5 linked regions of the Xenopus tropicalis genome follow. The main gene of each other region encodes a partner of the protein of the gene in region 5 in a complex. Links are inferred from orthologs where the notes say so. Each region holds a gene or a part of one and is shown on either strand. Other genes may lie near its edges. The genes, in order: irf2, zbtb16, banp, vgll4 and irf2bp2.

The links.
Region 1: the proteins of irf2bp2 (region 5) and irf2 are in contact, whole or in part, in a crystal structure (PDB 8YTG), measured with the Homo sapiens proteins. The link is inferred for Xenopus tropicalis from reciprocal best matches to the Homo sapiens genes IRF2BP2 and IRF2. Residues at the interface, in NP_892017.2 of Homo sapiens: His517, Phe518, Val519, Gln520, Pro522, Phe531, Leu557, Trp564, Ala565, Phe566, Met567, Glu570, Thr573, Ile574; in NP_002190.2 of Homo sapiens: Arg331, Ala332, Ser333, Val334, Ile335, Lys336.
Region 2: the proteins of irf2bp2 (region 5) and zbtb16 are in contact, whole or in part, in a crystal structure (PDB 8YTH), measured with the Homo sapiens proteins. The link is inferred for Xenopus tropicalis from reciprocal best matches to the Homo sapiens genes IRF2BP2 and ZBTB16. Residues at the interface, in NP_892017.2 of Homo sapiens: Thr516, His517, Phe518, Val519, Gln520, Pro522, Phe531, Leu557, Trp564, Ala565, Phe566, Met567, Glu570, Thr573, Ile574; in NP_001018011.1 of Homo sapiens: Arg285, Ser287, Val288, Ile289, Thr290, Ser291.
Region 3: irf2bp2 (region 5) and banp share a complex: the UniProt entries of both Homo sapiens proteins name them as parts of the corepressor complex. The link is inferred for Xenopus tropicalis from reciprocal best matches to the Homo sapiens genes IRF2BP2 and BANP.
Region 4: the proteins of irf2bp2 (region 5) and vgll4 are in contact, whole or in part, in a crystal structure (PDB 8YTF), measured with the Homo sapiens proteins. The link is inferred for Xenopus tropicalis from reciprocal best matches to the Homo sapiens genes IRF2BP2 and VGLL4. Residues at the interface, in NP_892017.2 of Homo sapiens: Thr516, His517, Phe518, Val519, Gln520, Pro522, Phe531, Leu557, Trp564, Ala565, Phe566, Met567, Glu570, Thr573, Ile574; in NP_055482.2 of Homo sapiens: Arg161, Ser163, Val164, Ile165, Thr166.

The regions. Positions count from the first base shown.
Region 1 is NC_030677.2:44,894,976-44,898,490, reverse strand, and holds part of irf2 (interferon regulatory factor 2), read right to left. Parts: intron 2,634-3,515; coding exon 2,534-2,633; intron 498-2,533; coding exon 321-497; intron 1-320. UniProt on the Homo sapiens protein: Specifically binds to the upstream regulatory region of type I IFN and IFN-inducible MHC class I genes (the interferon consensus sequence (ICS)) and represses those genes. Also acts as an activator for several genes including H4 and IL7.
Region 2 is NC_030683.2:85,512,542-85,516,626, forward strand, and holds the start of zbtb16 (zinc finger and BTB domain-containing protein 16), read left to right. Parts: upstream 1-1,273; 5' UTR 1,274-1,503; intron 1,504-4,085. UniProt on the Homo sapiens protein: Acts as a transcriptional repressor. Transcriptional repression may be mediated through recruitment of histone deacetylases to target promoters. May play a role in myeloid maturation and in the development and/or maintenance of other differentiated tissues.
Region 3 is NC_030680.2:65,855,092-65,858,606, forward strand, and holds part of banp (protein BANP), read left to right. Parts: intron 1-1,269; coding exon 1,270-1,392; intron 1,393-3,103; coding exon 3,104-3,282; intron 3,283-3,515. UniProt on the Homo sapiens protein: Controls V(D)J recombination during T-cell development by repressing T-cell receptor (TCR) beta enhancer function. Binds to scaffold/matrix attachment region beta (S/MARbeta), an ATC-rich DNA sequence located upstream of the TCR beta enhancer.
Region 4 is NC_030680.2:151,267,989-151,271,503, forward strand, and holds part of vgll4 (transcription cofactor vestigial-like protein 4), read left to right. Parts: intron 1-2,856; coding exon 2,857-3,046; intron 3,047-3,515. UniProt on the Homo sapiens protein: May act as a specific coactivator for the mammalian TEFs.
Region 5 is NC_030681.2:55,743,072-55,747,013, reverse strand, and holds the start of irf2bp2 (interferon regulatory factor 2-binding protein 2), read left to right. Parts: upstream 1-1,142; 5' UTR 1,143-1,732; coding exon 1,733-2,624; intron 2,625-3,942. UniProt on the Homo sapiens protein: Acts as a transcriptional corepressor in a IRF2-dependent manner; this repression is not mediated by histone deacetylase activities. Represses the NFAT1-dependent transactivation of NFAT-responsive promoters.

The sequences.
Region 1 (3,515 bases), on a different chromosome or scaffold from region 5:
CGAAACATAAAAAAGGCCATATCTGGCATTAGCCAAAGAAGGCATGTTGGTCGGCAATGCAATAGGATGGGGGGGGGGGGGGTTACATATTTTGCAGTAAGTACCTTGAGGCAGTTACGTTAATGTTTTGAGCTAATCCTCCAAATAAATTTGAGGTGTTGAGGAAAAAAATGTTTTGGCACGGAGGATTAACCATGACATAGGCTCCCTATTCTGCCTGGTAAATACTGCTAAATCACTACAATCTCAAAAAGCAGCACATCACATATAATATTTGTAAGAAAACTATTAAAAAAAAAATAGAAATTCCAGAGGCGTACCTCTTTTTGATGGCCTTTCTGCTACTGGGATCATCCTGTACACCCTGAAAGCATTATTTCCTTTTTTCATACTTTTATCCTTAACTTCTTCAATGTCTGGTAAAGAGTTCATAGCACAGCGAAAGTTTGCTTTCCATGTCTTTGGGTCTGGCTTGTCTATTCCAGGTTGATACTTCCCTTCAAAAAAAAAAAAAAAAAAACCACAAACACAACTTGAGCAGGTATGACTATAAAAGCTTATCTGTAATTACATAAATGTATAGCATCACCTCTGATTATAAGGGCTGTGGCAGACGGAGAGGCTAGTCGCCCGCAAAAATTCTCCCTTGTTGCGGGCGACGAATCTCCCCAAAATGCCATCCAACCGGCGAGTATGTAAATCGCCGGTGGGATGGCATACGTGGCGCCGTGATTTCCCCAAAATCACAGCCCTAATAATCTAATATAGTAAGAACCACCCGCACCAGGGACAGGGAGACAGCAAGTGACACTGCAACTGACAATTTGAAGCCAGAATTGCTGTTGGTGTGTGTGTGTTTATATCAGGGGAGTTAACCAGACAACATGACTACTAGCAATCTCACCCACACTAGAAGTGCCTTCAGGCAAGCAGCAACCCCCTGTGATGGTTTATGCAGACTCAGACTGAATTACTTTGGTCAACCAAATCAATGACATACCCTTGATGATCTGATAAAATAGTTACAGCTTAAGGTGGCCATACACGCACCGATAATATCGTACAAAACCTCGTTTCGTACAATATTCGGTGCGTGTATGGTATGTCGGCGAGTCGACCGATATCGCAGGAAGCTGCTGATATCGGCCGACTCGCCGATCGGACCAGTTGCAAATTTTCGTTGGGCGCCATAGAAGGCGCTTGATAAAAATCTCCCTTCAGCGCTGAATCGGCAGAAGGAGGTAGAAATCCTATTGTTTCTACCTCCTTACCTGCCGATTCAGCCCTGAATGGTGTGTGGCACATCTGACGATGTTTCGATCGCCACGTGTATGGCCAGCTTTAGTCATTAGGATACTGTCTGTACATGTAAAGGACCTGTTATCCAGAATGCTTAGAACCTGGGTTTTTTTTGGATAAGTCTGTTAAAAAATCATTTAAACATTAAGTAAACCCAAAAGGATTGTTTTGCCTCCATTAAGGATTAATTGTATCAAGTACAAGGTTCTTTAGAAAAAAAAAATAATTATTTGCTTATAATGCAGTCTATAGGAGATGGCATTCCTGTAATTCAGAGCTTTCTGGATAACAGATTTCCAGATAACAGACCCTATACCTGTAAATAATATGCAGCCTTTCAGTTTTTGTTGTTTTTCTAAAAAAAAAAAAAAAACATATAGCAACAAATGCAGGTGGAACAATGGTTCAATTTAAGGGACCCATTTGTCCTAAATATGAGGAGTTGTTAACCTTTAAGCTAACTTTTAATATGTTACAGAATGTCTAATTCTAAGCAACTTTTCAATTGTTTCTTTTTTATAGTTTTTAAATTATTTGCCTTCTTCTTCTGCCTCCTTCCAGCTTTCAAACGGGGGTCACTGACCCCAGAAGCCAAAAAACGATTGGTCTACGAGGCTACAATTTTATTGTTACTGTTAGACCATTTTTCTATTAATATTCCAGTCTCTCATTCAAATCAAAGCCAGGTTGCTAGGGTAATTTGGGCCCTAGCAAGCAGATAGCTGCTGAAATACCAAGCTGGAGAGCTTCTACATAAAAAGCTAAATAATAATAAAAAAAAAAAAAAAAGACCAATTGCAAATTGTCTCAGAATAACTTAACTATTAGTATGATATACAGAGTGTAAAAGGTGAACAGCCCCTCTAGGCCTGTGGATAAACGCAGATCAAAAATTATCTCCTATGTTTGAATCATTCCAACCCATTGACTGCACCTGGAGCCACTGTGTTTCAGCACTGAAATCTGCTCCATGTGCCTGCACCCAGGCATGCCCCAACACCTCCCCCATTACTTGTCGATTTCCTGTCAGAGCAGGAAAAGAGGTTGAGGGGGTATCAATGTCTACACTAGAATAGTCAAAAAATGGAATTTGGCTGTTAATGTTACCAGAGGCAGCTTTTTGCAACCCCAATAATGTGCCATTTGAGGAAAGGTCACTTTGCCTCATGACTGAAACATGCATAGTCCAAAAATAAATATTTCATCCATAGAATATAATAAATGAAGTCAATACCTGTGTGTATAGCCCAGTTTCTGAATAAAGGAGCATCCTTATCAACATCCCAGCCATGACGAGCAGCATGCATCCATGGAATCTGAAATATCTTTTTCTCCTGAAAAGTAGATACAAAAGTCTATCAAATCATATCTAGCCAATTATTAACAGTCAAATTACATGTTTACTTTAATACCTTTACCAAAATCGGAAAAGTGAAATCATAGTCTTTTTTAAATAAGGGGGGTTGTTTATACAGAGGGCTTTCAAGGGACTGCTGATTTGTTTTGATTATGTGTGTAGAACCAGCAGAAAGTAAAATATAGATTTACTTTAAATTCATAGTTTCCTATTATTTTTTGTGCAACAAATATAAAAAAAAAATACATATTTCCTAATTAAACAATACGCATGTTCGGCACAAACCAAATACATTAAACCAATGTTGACAAAGGGGGTACATTATTAATAATAAACCAAAATAGCTTCATCTATGTGCGCCATTGAGAAGAGGAACTTTTAGCTTCTGTGCAAAATCAAAAGCTGATCAAAATTTGTCTGATCCTGATGAACCAAAATATTTTTGAAATTGCTGGTTCTTTAACTGAAATGAATGAATGAATGAAACTGAAGGGAGCAGAAGGGGACAGAGTGTAAAGAGAGCAAACTGTGACTATAAAAAAAGCATCACTCCAGTTGTGCAGGGCTGATATGGTATCAGCTCAGAAGCATGCTGCGGGCCTTTAAATCTGCAATAGCAGCAAAATGCAAGAAGAAGAAGCAAAATGCCCCATATTCATTATACTACTCATCTGTACTGGCTCTGACTGGCAGCATCTGTACAAACTACAATATTTCTATCTGAAAATACCTCTCAGTGAATATATCCACTACTACAACTTAAATAAAACAAGAAAATGCAAGAATGAGTGGAAAGCTAAAGAGTCACAGTTCCTACTCATTGTCACTGAATTTGCTACCAGCATACAGACAAGTCAGG
Region 2 (4,085 bases), on a different chromosome or scaffold from region 5:
ATTATTTGATGCATTTAAAGGGGAACTCCGCGCCAAACACAAATTAAGCTTTTTGAAAAATAAACATAATTTCAAGCAACTTTGCAATATACATCAATTCAAAAATATGCATCTTTTGATGATTTTTAATGTAATAATATGGTTTGGAACAGGTACCTAAGCCTGGCCCCCTGTTCTCCTGCTGATCTGGCTGACTACTTTGAGATTAAAAATAAAAATTTAACAGTAGTCGACTGTCCTCAGCCTGAATCCTCCAAATCTCACAATTCCCTGCACACGTGATGTCAATAAGGAAAAGAACATCACAGTGCTTTGTGGGTAATGTAGTTCCTGCATTCTGTCTGTAAGCTGTGGAGAATTTTTTTTTTTTTTTTAACATGTGTTTTAGTCCCTCCTCCCCTGCAAATGATGCAGAAAGGGAAGAACTGTTTTGCAGCTTGATTTCAGCATATAAAAATGGTATTTATTCAGTGATATGTGGGGCTCTTTTAAAAATGTTGGTTCCAAAGCCAGAGTTCCCCTTTAAGTGCGTTCCAACCAGCATCTCAAACATGTAAGAAAAAAAAAAACCATGTGTAAGGGCCCTTAATATACACATTAATGCTATACTTGATCTCTCATTTGTCCTGCCTTACATGAACCTCATTTAAGGAGAAGGTGGGCACCAAGCCTCACTCACACCATTTGATCCCCTATATACAATGTAGGATCGAATGTGTCTCCTAGTATTCATGTCCCTGGGTCAACTGTACCTTCCTTTATAAGAATGAAAAAAATCACAAAACGAATTGTATAACGCCACTGTTCTTTTAAAGACCCTCATTAGCAATGGGCTTTAGATAAGACAGTTAAATATGGTAAAGGAACCAAGCAGCCACAGTGGAATGTCTAAAGGACACTTCTGAAAGCGCAGACAGAATACACCGGGTACAAGTAAGGGGACCTATGTGATTATAGTATTCCTTTAACAAGAGAACGCAGACTATTTATTACTGTATATAGAAGCACTCGCTGTTGTTACCCCTACAGACACATTAGCATTCACGGTTCAGTACTTAATGAATGGAAATGCTGCGAGGTCTCGGCTCATGACAAGGCTGCGCTGTTATTCTCTACCCACAGAATTCCATAAACTACCGCCTTGCCGAGAACTATTATGTCTAACCCACACTGAAACCCGCCGATTCCCTGCCGCTTGAATCTTCAGAGCACCTGATGCTCCCTTTCCAACCACTCTTGACTGACACCAACCTTCCATTCCTTCCTAGCCAGGAGTAAGCATGGCGGCCGGCCGCTCCAGCATGGGGAGAGAGAGTCACGTGGGCCAGGCGCCGGCCTGACGTCATCGTTGTGTTGATTTGCTAACCTTAAAGGAGAGAGGAGTTAGTGAGCATGAGAGCGGGCACTGCGAACTGTTTGGATTAGGCTGCTGCTTTAAACAGCGCATCTCTACTCACATACATGCCTGCAGAGAGAGCTAGCAAAGGAAGAAGCCCATCTGAGGTGAGTGCAGCTAGTGAGCCTTTTATTCCTACAAAGTGAGCTACTCCCTAAACTTATCATAAGGGCATTTCTTATTGATAGCGGCTACAAGAGGCTGTGATTGGATTGAGTGGCTGAGTACAGTAATACAATACGCTGGGTTATAGTGTTCTGATACAAGCATGCTCAACCTGAGACCTTGCTGCGTTATAGTTCTCACTGTACCTCGGCAGCCTCCGCTTGTCTGGACATTGTGGGAAAGGTAACCCTAGCCGAGGGTGGGTAGGTCACGTCTGTGTCTATAGCCATGCTTGCACTTACACTGAGGGGAGCTTGCATTGCTCAGGCTCCGGAAAGTCGGAGTTGCGCTGGGTACATGCATACTTCATGACGTTTGTCTGTTTCCCCTTTACACTGACAATGCAAGCATATTATTGTCCTGTACGGGTTTAGTTGTGCACGTTAAGTGCTCTCCCTCCATCACTTTTTATAGTGATCCCAAGTCAACTTCAGCTGCTGCTGTGTGAGATCCGTGCGCTCTGCATGGCACAAAGCGCTGGAAAAGTTCATCAGAAATCCCGAATTAGCTGCTTATTGGCAGGATAGCGCTAATTGTGTATGCGCCGCCACACTCCCGGCACACAGGAGCCCCGTTATTATCCTTATGATCACTATTATTAGGTGAGGATAGAGAGCCGGTGAGGTGCACACTTACTGAGTACTGACAGAGCTATGGCTTGCGAATACTGATTTGAGGGATGCTCTATTGTGCACTGCAGGAAAGGCTGCGATACAGTTCATCATCTTGGATTAGAATTCGTACAGATCCACATCTGGTACTAATACAGATCGCTTTTCTACAAGGCACAATAGGGCATCCCTTAGCCCCAGCGCTGTCCTGCCATCCTAGGCGCAGGCTGTCCCAGTGGGTGCACATTGATTATTGTTAGTGTTATCATAATGTCGCACACTGATTCTGAGAGCCCCGCTGCCCTACCATTGAGCAACTCACGCACATTGGGATTAACTTTAAGCGCTTTGTGCAATGCAGGGGGCATGGCGCTATTTCGCTGTAAGGTGCAGACTCCTCCGTGCGCTGCAGGGAGACAATATCATTTCTTAGAATAAATTCCGTGCGCTGCAGGGAGACAGTGAGATTTCGCTTTCCTGCTGCTGCTCTGAGACGGGCATGGTGTTTGCACTTGTTTGTGTCTGCTGGTCCAGGTTTTCTTTCGGGAGATGGGATTCTATAGAGAAACTGTGATTTATTGCGTTTTATATAGATAAACAATAGAAAATTGCGTTTGATCACCCTTGGATTGTGACATCAATATCTTGCCATTCCCACTGTCTCTTTGCATTTCATCTGTTGAATGAAAACCCGAGCTTTTCCCTCCGCTCCCCTTTTCTCGTGGAATATTTTTATTTTTGTGCATTTTTAGTATTATTCCTGTAGATTTCATTCATATGTGTGCTTTCCATTGCTTCCCTCTCTCCCCATAAAACATCATGTTCTCAATTCTATCCAGAATTTTGTTATGAAACTGCCCCGCCCCTGTATCCCTGCTGTATCTGTCTGTACAGTGCGATCTATCTGGATCGGTCTGGCCGCTAATTCCATTCTATACGAATCTTTGAGCTGGATACCGGGCTCCGTGCGCTAAAAGCCCCGCGTCAGTATTTGGTGCTCTCTACATTTCTGTCACTGTATATTGGAGGTGGGGTACGGCAGAGAGGACAATTGCAGGATATTGTCAGTATACATTTCACTGATTTTAGCCTGCAACCTTCTAGCTGTTGCTCTACTACAACTCGTAGCATCACCAGTAGGAGGGTGCTGGGAGTTGTTGTTTCACAGCAGCTGAAGGGGCTGCAGGTTGGATAACCCTGATTTGTTGGCCCTTCACCTCAGGTTGCCCTAACTGAGCTGCTCTTATTATTAAGTGACATCTTGTCACATTGCCTCATATTTTACTTATTTTGAACCCCCCCACCATTAAAACGTCTTTCCTCCAAACAAGGGTTAATATCCGTGTGATCTAATCTTCATGTTATTTATGCTATCATGGGTTTTTATGCAACATGTATGATTTCCAAAAACTTGATGTGCCAGGGGTTTAAATAGGCTAAATCTTGGCAATACACAACTGATAAAGAACTTTTAATAGTTCACTAATTAACCCTTCCAGCTCATCAAAAGCAGCTTTGTTCTGTCACAGGGTGTCTTTCCGACCCCCCCACCCTTCCTCCCATCCCCTGTCCAAAGAAAAACAAACAGGAGACTCACAACTGAAACCAATAGATCTGTTTGTCCTTGTTGCAAACCTCCAGGCTGGTGTCCTTGTTTGTAACAAACCTTCTCCTGTATGGGCATTTGCATGGGCATCGTCATGGGCAGAGCTCGCTTTGCTTTATTCTTTATACAGTACATAAACCATAACTTGCTGCCTCAATTGCTTTTTTTGCTTGTTCTTGAAAATTTGCGTGTTTTTTAACAGAGACTTAGCAGTTTCTTCTGTAAAACGCTTACGCACCCATAAAAGTCTGCAGAAATAGAATTCTTTTATGGATAGAGGTAAACTGTAGCCCATATTTTATCACTT
Region 3 (3,515 bases), on a different chromosome or scaffold from region 5:
CTTCTAGGCTTTGCATCTTACAGCTTCTTATTAGGGAACCATAACAATAGAAAGGCTGTGGATGAGATGGTAAGATTATAGCCCTCCAGCCACAGACAGAGAGCCAACTCAGTCAAAGCCATAACCATGAGCTTAGTTTAGGTAGGGTTAAATAATAAAGCATTAATTGTTTTATATTTTTTATTAGAAAATGCAAGTTAAAAATGATAGCATCTGTCTAACCCTGTAAGTGGCAGCTTATGTCTCTTTCAAAAATGGTGAAAATGTTGAATCTAGTACTTGTAATATAGTGCTAACTTTTTGATCTGTCCTTTTCTTTTGTTTACATGCCAATTAGTGGTGTAAATCACCTGATCCCGCTGTGACATGCAGAGAATTGATGATAACTCATTATCCTGCCTTTATGAAGCACCATTTGGCACAGGCTAGGAATATTAGTAGTTTTATAGGACTTTGAAAATGTGTAATGTGTAAATTAAACTGCACTGAAACTAAGAAAAAAAATGCAGTCAAAGTTTTGGTTTCAAGACTTCTGCGATGAAGCTGATGAAACAAGGTTTCCCATTCGCAAACTTGGTCATCAGACCTGGACACACAGGAAGGATATTCACAGGCTGGAAAAAAAAACTTAGCATTTACTGAAAAAGCTGATTACTCAACTAGGCTTCTCTTACCATAAGAAAAAGTAAGAATATTTAAATTTGCACTTGAAAAACTAAATTCTTACTAAGTATTTTTGGCAAAATATTGAAACCAAAACCATTTGCTGGCTGTATGGGTTTTGTTGAAAGTGTCTCTTTTTGAGTAATAAAATAACTACTGAAATCTTCTAAAACTAACCTTTTACTCTTGTGTTAGTCCAGATTAAAGGAGAAATAGATTGTTTGTGTAACTTGTTGGCTTCTAATTTGTGACCATTTGTGTATGTACCTAGGCTCTATCACTCTTATAACCAGCATTCTTTTGTACATACTCACAGACTATTCTGTGTCAAGCTGAATGATGACTGTAAATGGTTGACATCCTAGTTGAATGCATATAAAACAGAGCAGAATGGCTTTTTTTGTTTTTTTTTAAATATGAAAAATCTTCACCATTTAATTATATAAAAGCATGCAACATTTGATGAATATTTGCAGTAGCATTTTTGTCCCTTTTCGTCTATGTAAATATGGATTTCTAGTAAAATGTTTACTTCATTACCAATAGCTTAAAGTATTTGGACCCTGTGACATTAAAACCACTTAAAATGTCTGTTTCTTTTTTTAGTGTTGTACCGCAGACTACAGTAATACTGAACAGTGAAAGACAAACCCCAGGTGTGACTAAACTGGAGGGTCGCGAAGAGTCTATAAACAGTTCAACAGAAACCCTTGAAAACATGCTGAATAGGTAATAGTTTATTATTTATCTTCTAGCCTCCCCCGACACCAAAAGATGAATCTAACCATAGTTAGTTTTTTTTTTTTTAACATGCATCTTTATTATAAGTGTAAATAACCTATTTCTTCACAAATGACTATGATAATTGAGGTCAACTATATCTACTTTGGTAAGAGGAGTGGGAAATTGTTTCTGTCCCATCTGTTTCTTGTCTGGCAATGTCCTCTTACAAAGCACCTCTTGCTATAATTGTAGTTTTGTTCTTTTGCTCCTTTTACAGGTACTCATCTGCTTAGGTAAGCAATATGGCTGCTTAATATGTAAATAAGGTTTTCAGAGCAGGAATGTTATGCCCCCTTTTTCTAAAAACTCATTATTAAAGCCTTTTTACTGCATTTTTTAAAGAAAATTAATGAAGATAATTAAATCCTGTGTATTAAACTGTGGATTCCTTCTAAATATGGAATTTGCTCTGTATTGAAGAGTGTTACTGTGAACAATCAACTAAATGTAAAATAGTTATTAAAACTTAAAGTTACTTAAACTTAGTTTATTAGTAAAAATAACTAATAGTTTTAGACTGTTAAGGTGGCCATACACGGGCCAATTCTAGCTGCCTATATTCGTCCCTTAGACCGTTTCGGCAGTTTATCGGCTCGTGTATGGCCATTAACGACGGGCCTGCCCGACCAACATCTGGCCGGAAATCGGCCAAATCTTGATCGCCCAGTGAGCGGATCTTAGCGTGTATGGCCACCTTTAGGGTCTGTGACCACCACTTAAAAACTGTCAGAAGAGGAAGGTTAATTATTAAAAAGGCTATAAAAAATAGACAATGAAAACCAGTTGCAAAGTTGCTAGGATTAGGTCATTTTGTAACTAAAAATTAACTTAAAGTTGAACCACCCCTTTAATAGACAAAACAGTTTTACCAATCAATCGTGCCTAAATTAAACTGGCGGATTAGTGGTGCACCCTGCTGGGATCAAGTCTGGCTTGCCAGGGCCCACTGGGTTTTTTCCTAGTGCTCCGGCGGCCCAGTCCAACACATTACTTGTGACTCTTTATCTCCTTCATCTTCATTGTAGCCAATGATTCTTGAGAGAGATTGATTAGGGGCAATTCAAAGGTATTATTTAGCCCTGCAGGATATAAATCTTGTTTTAGTTTTCTCTATCTCTTTTTATTAAATCTTCCCTTTAAATTGGATTCACTTAAAATACTCTTGATTTGTGACTATCTATGAAACAATGTTGCATGCAGAAAAATGCATTTTTGGGGAAGTACTGATTTCTCTACATTCATGCAGCACCAATGTATCGGTGTTCACAAGGCAGAGTGTGATGTAAAGGATGAGCAATCGTTGCTAATTATTATGTTGCCACTGTATGAAATGATATTAATTCAAAATGTAACCTGATGGCTTTTCTCCCAACCACTTCTAACAATATTTAATGTTTTTAATCTTTTTTTTTAGTAATACAAAACATTTTATGTCACCCTGTACATATTACAGCTTTTAATACAGCTTTTAAGCTTTTTTGTTTACAGTATTATTACAAAGGTGATGATGGGTGTAGTTATTCTGCATGTTGCTATGACAACAAATATGAACTTTTCTTAGTTTTGCTATCAAGTTTTTATAGTACAATATTTGTTGCTTATTGTGTTGCTATAGTATGGGAGTTTTTTAAAAAAAAAATATTACTCTACATTTCAGTGCAGTTCCTGGAAGAAGACACAACACAATTGTAGTGAAAGTTCCTGCCCCTGAGGACAGCCACAATGATGATGACAATGACAGTGGTTCTGAGGCTAGTGATACACTGTCTAATTGCGGTAATTCAGGAAACCCAAATATGGGCAACAATGTCACCCTGATCACCTTAAATTCTGAAGGTATGTCATTATGTTTAGCTTTCAATTATTGGGGTTTTTCACCTTCGGACAAGTTTCCAAATTAGAACTGCCTAAATCACTAAAAACATTTTCCAAATTAGTTTTTTTTTTTTTTTTTTTTTAATTCCACTGCCAACAATAAAAATTTGTTTTCCCCTTAAAGGAGAAGGAAAGGTAAAAACTAAGTAAGCTTTATTAGAAAGGTCTATGTAAATACAGCCATAAGCACTCAC
Region 4 (3,515 bases), on a different chromosome or scaffold from region 5:
TGGCCTCTATGTACAGGATTAAAATCTCACTCCCTGGCCTCTATATACAGGATTATAATCTCTCCCTCTGGCCTCTATAAACAGGATTATAACCTCACTCCCTGGCCTCTATGTACAGGATTAAAATCTCACTCCCTGGCCTCTATATACAGGATTATAATCTCTCCCTCTGGCCTCTATAAACAGGATTATAACCTGACCCTCTGGCCTCTATATCCAGGATTATAACCTCACCCCCTGGCCTCTATGTACAGGATTAAAATCTCACTCCCTGGCCTCTATATCCAGGATTATAACCTCACCCCCTGGCCTCTATGTACAGGATTAAAATCTCACCCCCTGGCCTCTAAATACAGGATTATAATCTATCCCTCTGGCCTCTATATCCAGGATTATAACCTCACCCCCTGGCCTCTATATGCAGGATTATAATCTCACCCCCTGGCCTCTATATACAGGATTATAATCTCACCCCCTGGCCTCTATATACAGGATTATAATCTCACCCTCTTACGTGTGTATTTGCTCTGCGCGAGTAACACACAAACCCCGGGCTCACCTTAAACTCACCCGCAGTCACTTAATCCCCAGATTTACTTTGCATGTTGAGGTTTTAACCCTTTGCACAACAGCATTTCTGTAACCTACGGTTGGCTGTGGCCTTGGGAAGGGGATTCCCTGCACTCGTATTTATAGTCTGGCCGGGTTCATTTCCAGCGACTGAGGCAATAAATCTGCTTTGTAAGTTACAGGAGGGCTGGTGCTCTGTATCCGTGCCTCCCTGTGCCGTTTCTCTTTTGGGCGCCCAACTCCCACTTGTGGATAAGGTTTCATTCTTCTCATTATCCTGTATTTCTCCGCCACTGAATTCACTTGGCCTTTCCCTCATGTCCCTTCTGTATAAAAGCTGGAGCGTTATCTCTGTGCGTCTGCACCAATGGGAATAAGAATGGCAGGAAATGAGTGTCTGGGCGTCTTGGGCTCAAAGGATCCGCTGGCACTGCTACGGGAAGGTGCATTATAGTCCAAGGCTGGCAAAGTACAAACAGCTGCTTATGTAGGGTAAAGGGCGAAGACACACAGAGCTACTTAGTAGCAGCTACTTGTCACGGCAACTAAATGCCAGAATATCCCCTGCCATAGACAATACTGAGAATTGCCTCTGCTAAACACACGTAGGGACAATTATCAGTAAATGATCAGCATTGTCTGTTTTAGTAGCTGCTACTAGTAGCTCCGTGTGTCTTCTCCATTAGGGCAAAGACACATGGGGCGATTCGTCGCTGCAACAACAATCGCTTCAACTAATTGCATCGATTTAGCTGACCTGTACTAATGTACAAGTTGCTGCAACTAATTATTTGCTGCAAATTAGTAATTGCGGTACGCCAATTAGTTGCAGCGACTTTTTAAAAACTTGCATCAACTAATCGACCCGTGTATCTTCAACCTAAAGGTCTCCATACACGGGCAGATTCACCCCTGGGGCCAAACGATCGAATTCTAACGACGGGCATAGCAAAAGTCGGTCCGGGGACCACATCAACGAGCCAATGCGGTCCCCTATTCGACTAGATTTTCTAACCTGCCCGATCGAGATCTGGCCAATTTCAGGCCAGATATCGGTCGGGCAGGCCCGTCAGTAGTGCCCATACACGGCTGGTTCCCTGGGCAGCCCGGCACAATCTGTATCTGGATAAAGATCCCATTATTCCTATTATCCCTTATCCAACCTGGAGCCAGCCAATGCCTTCTCTGCCGGCTCCGTTCCGCTGGGCTGGAAGTGGAAAATTACAGACGGCTGTGGGTGCCAGATCAGGCCTGGGATGGATTGTGGGTCGCTGCTTGCTGTCTGGGTTGGCACGGCCGTGTTTGTGCTGGGGGCGGGCAGGCGTTTATCTTGGGCAGAGTCACCGCTGAGGAGATATTCCGGTACAGTGTAAATAAACCTTTCTTTACAGGGCTGTGTTTAGTGGCGGCACCGGGGGAAGTCGGGCTTTGCAGCCGTCAGTATTTCTATAAAGTAAAGCTGCCCGACCTATGGCCAACTCCTTGTATTTACTCAGTCTTGCCCCAATATTCCTCTGGGGGGTAGGGATAAGTACACTTAGCCAAGGCAGGCCGAGTAAAACCACTTGGCATTATACAAACCTCTAATCTCCAAGAAAAGAACCCATTTATTTGCAAATCAACGAACCCTGATATTTAGTAGCGAAACGGGGATTTATTGATTCTGAAAAATCTCTGCTCATTTTGAATTTGAGGGCAGCAACACACTCCAAAAAGTTGGGCAGGGGGCAATAAAAGCAGGAAAGCTGTTAATGCTAAAAAGAGTGGATCCCAGAGAGGCAGGGGGGTCTCTCAGAAGAAAAGATGGGGGTGGGAGCTCGCTCTGTGACACACTGTATGGGGGGGCAACATAAAATTGCAAAGAACTTGGGGAGTCCATCCCCTACAGTATGTAATATCATTAAAAGATAGAGAATCCGGAGAATCCAAAACCAATATTGGGTGCTGGGATCTTCGGGCCAAAGTCCATTGGGAACCCAGTTGCCCCCACTGCACCCACAAATACAAGCTCCTTGTTTCCAAAATGGTTACAGAGTGTTGGGGAAAGAAAAGGGGGTGCAGCGCAGTGGGGAACATGCCCCTCACCCCCCAACTGGTTGTTGGCAACAAATTGCAAATTTCCAGAAACAATAGGATGTCTCCGTTTCAGCATCGGATCTGTTTTGCACTATTTCCTATTAAATATCGGGGTTCACGTATTTGCAGATCATCCGGTTCTCTCTCTATTTCTGTGTCACCCACAGCCAATGGCCACGGTTTCACCTGAATTTTCTGTTCTTTCCACAGGGGAAGCGGCGTTACGGAGTGACCCCAGGGTGCAGCCCCTCCCCATGACCTCTGCTCTGTCCATTCCCCGGACAGCCCCACCCCCCATCAGCCCCAGCAAACGAAAGCTCAGCATGGACCAAGGAGACGAGGAGCTAGAATGTGACAACGACCATGTCTCCAAAATGAGTCGGATGTTTCCTCCGCACTTGTAAGTTCCCCTGGGATACAATATGGCATGGTTGTTTCCTCTATACTTGGGAATGCACCCCATAAAGCCCCCTGGAATTTGCTTTGCTAGGCCTTTAGGGTGCATATAAACAATAATAAAAATAATTCATATTTGTGTTATCATTAATAGCACGGGGGGAGCACTCATACCTTGCAGCGCCGGGGTACTGAGTTCAATCCCAGCCAGGGTGCTATCTGCGGGGAGTTTGTATGTTCCCCCTGTGTCTGTGTGGGTTCCTCTGGGTCCCCCAGTTTCTTCCCATGCTCCAAAAACATACAGGCAGGTTAATTGGCTTCTAACTAAATTGCCCATAGTGTGTGTGAATGTGACAGGGACCTTAGATTGTAAGCTCCTCTGGGGCAGGCACTAATGGGAATGCAATATTGATGATAGATTGTAAGCTCACTGGGGCAGGGACTGATGGGAATGGGATAGGGACCTTAGATTG
Region 5 (3,942 bases):
GTCTCGCGTTTCATTCCTTCATTAGAACCTTTGAAGGTTCCCTCATGAATCATTACGGAAGAGAGGGGGTTAAGGGACTAGCGCCCCCTCCCCCCACAGCACACGTTACAATTGCAATGTGTTTTGTAAGCCGCTCGCTGCACTCTCTGCTCTGACCTCGCTCTTTTCCTGCTAACTCAAGCGCCCTTGGCTAAGTGATTCAGCACCCTTAATACCAGGCGGCGGCGGGGGGAGGAGAGGGAGGAAAATAAGGCACTTTCCAGTTTTAATTGCAGAAGGAATGGAAAAACCAACAGTGATAAATGCTGGCTGGATAACGAGTTTATAAAGTGAACAAGTAGTTAAAGAGTGTCCTTTGGGAGAGGGCGGGCCTTGCCTGAAACTAGTGCACATGAGAGGGAGGGCGAGGAGCAGGATATTTCTGGAAGGACTTTGGTTTCCCTCGACTCCACATTGGTTAATCATTATTTGCCTGTTTTTCTTTCCATTCACTTTGATATTACACCTGAGGGACTGACTCGCACTAAATATGGCGTGTTGTGGCACAATTGGGTACGTTTAAAGAGAAAGTATATACATGGTGTAATTTGGCGATTTTGTCCCTTTTATGTTTGCCCCATGGACAAACCACACAATTAAATGTCAAAATCCAACTTAGACATTATTCAGGACCCCCAATTATTGTACTGCGCGAAAGGGTATGCGTGTAATTGGACCGTATTCTGCGGAGACCCAGGCCATAGGTAGTGGGCTTTCACTGCCACAAAATGAACTATAAATTCATTTCTGCGAATACAATTAAAGCCTACGTTTGCATCACGCGCATCCAAGTCTTTTTCCTCCTCTCCCTCCCCTCCGCCTCCTTTCTCCCAGCTCTTGCAACAGGGCATAGTAACTGAGTCAGTGCTTCTCGTCCTGTTGCAGCTCTTGTTTGTTGTCTTGGCAGCAGTTCAAAGAAGACGGAAGGGGGGGGGTGGGGAGAATAGGGTGAAGAAGCGTGGGCGGGTACGTCAGTTACACTAAGTGCGCCTGCGCGGAGGGGGTGGTGGTTGGCCGGGGACTGTCGAAGAATCAAGTAAACAGAGAACTTGGAATCACAACGGTTGGCTCGACCGTGACGTCACCACCCTTTAGCGGCACTGCTAGCTGCGGCGGCGGCCAGAGAGGGAGGCGGGAAACTACAGCAGTGGCTTCGGCGGCTGTAGAATTACTGTCCCATACGTGAGGACATTTTCCTGTTTCGCTCCGGCAACACATTATATTTGTTCGGCGCTCACCAAGTGCACGAAAGGGTTAGCCCCGAGTTGTTGTGAGCTCCTGGCAGTTCAGGGAAGGGGGGGCCGCTCTGGTGACTGAAGCAGCAGCCTATCACCGGGCCGGCTCCCCTCCCCCCTCCTCTCCCTCCCTCCCTGGAGCTGTGCAGCTGAGGAAAGCGAGAGAAGGGAGAAGCACTTCAGAAAAAAAATATATAATAATTCCTCCTCCTCCCGTGGATCCAGAGCTGGGCGTAGTGTGTATGCTTCAAGCCGGAATCGCCAGCAGCAGCCGAGGCGGAGGGCGCCGCCGCCCCGCTCCTCGAGGCTGAGCCCGACCATTTTCTTTTCAGTGCAAGGATCATCCATCATACGGGTTGCAGGGGAGGAAAATTGCGCCGATTTCCAAATTTGGAATATACCTATTTACTGGACAGAACACACACAAATAATAAACGGTGGATTATAATTTTATTGTTATGTCGTCGGCGACGGTGGCCGCCTCCCGGCGGCAGTCGTGTTACCTTTGCGACCTGCCACGCATGCCATGGGCCATGATTTGGGACTTCACGGAGCCCGTGTGCCGGGGCTGCGTCAACTACGAAGGGGCCGATCGCATTGAGTTTGTCATCGAGACGGCCCGGCACTTGAAGCGGGCGCACGGGTTCCAGGAGGGCAGGTCCCCCGGGCCTTCGCCTTCATCCTCCTCGTCATCTTCCTCCTCCTCTTCAGTCAAGCCGCAGCTCAGCGCAAAGGAGATGGCGCAGATCGGGCACACGATGGGGGGCCCCGAGGGGGTAACACGGACCTCGCAGCAGCCCCCTCCTCCGCAGTGCCTGGACCGCTACTCGCTGGAGAGACCGCCGCCCCCTCGTCTGGGATCGGAATATGGCGTTGGCAGGCAAGTGAATGGGATTCTCTTACCCAACGGCTTCCCGAAGCCAGAGGAGCCGCCGGAACTAAACCGGCAGAGCCCCAACCCGCGCAGGACTAGCTCGGTGCCTCAGTCCCTCGGCGCACTTATGAACGGCGCCCCCATTGGCAGCGGCCGGACACCAGTCGGACTCTCTGCGGCCTCTTTGGTGGCAGCCGCCGCCGCCACCACCTCTGCGGACCTGTCTGGCAAGCGGCCGGGCTCTGTCTCCAGCAGTGAGCACGATGGCAAGGAGAAGCACAGGGCCGACAGCTACTCAGAGCTGGGCGAGAACCACAAGAGCAGGGCCGAGGAGTGGATCAGCAAGCCCAAGACGGTCAGGGACACTCTGATGGCCATGCAGCACAGCCACTCGCCCTTTGACTCCAAATTCAAGAAGGACCCCGGGCCCGGAAGGGTGCTGAGCTTTGAAGCCAACAACCCCGCTTCCAAATCTGGTATGAGGCTCTCCAATGTGTTCATGGTTGGCACCTAGACTGTAGCGAGGGAAATTCGTATTTCACATAAATGTAACGGGGCTTTTTTACATGGTCGTGAACTCAGCCTTGCACTGATACTGCGGTCTCTTGCTAAATAGGTGGGCTGAAGGGAGTGCAGACATTCCTGCTATTGGCACACGGCTTGGAGTATAGGATGCCATGTGCAGGACATGCCGGCACCGAAAGGGTGCACCCATCAGGCTCTGTGCCCTGCCCTAAAGTCAGACCCGCAGCATACATGCAACGTGTTTATCTGCTGATCTAGCAATTTGCAAGGGTCGGGGACTTCTAAAGTTTCCTCTGTTTTAGTCATTCGCCCTTTTACTGTTTAGTAAGATTAGCTTCTCTACTCGTTTTCTCTTTTATATGGCTGTATCTCTGTGTGCAAACCTTCATTGGATAAAAACTCTCAGGGACAAGGCTGAAATGATTTTAGATTTTCATAGTCTCTGGGCATTGTCAAACTTCCACCCATTTCATTGCTATTTATCAGCTTGCTAATTGTTTAGTTTTTTCTTTGGGGGGGGGGGGGGCAATTAGAACTTTGTGTAGGCAGATTTGGTCATTTTCTAATGACATGTTGCTCAACATATGCCCTGCTACTTCAGGGTGAAGGCACACAGTTACTCAGTAGCAACTACTTGTCATGGCTACTAAATGCCTGAAAATAACCAGTCATATATAATACTGAGAAATCCCTCTGCTAAAACATGCAGAGAAAATTATCAGTAAATGATCAGCATTGTCTATTGTCGTCACCCTAACTTTAAATGTTTTACAGTATTATGTCTTTAAGAATAAACATAGTATATTTGGTTTAAAATAGGGGTTACTAATCAGAATAGCAATAACCAGTTCTTACACTGTTTGTCAGAAGCAGTATGTATAAGGAATGGAAATTTCCACTCTTAGTAAGTGTGTGTGTATAAGGTATCCTTTCACATTTCACCATCAGTTGCAGTAGACAGAATTTGTACTTCACTGTAAGGGGTAGGAGCCATCTAGTGAATATTTAACATATCTTTTGTGGATGGTTTTCTTGTATGGGCCTGTTTGCCTGCTGTTAAGACATTCAAAACATTTTAATAAGACTTGTCCCTTTAAAGCTGCTTTTTTAAAAAGTCTAATCCATTGCAGTGTATACGAATCTTCTGTATTTGATGTGTGAAGTTAAAGTTGGAAAGCAATTTATGTTTATGGGAATAATATAGCGTGAACACTTTTGACAGATTTTAGAATCTGGCATAAATGTAAACATATGTCTTTCCTGCCTTTT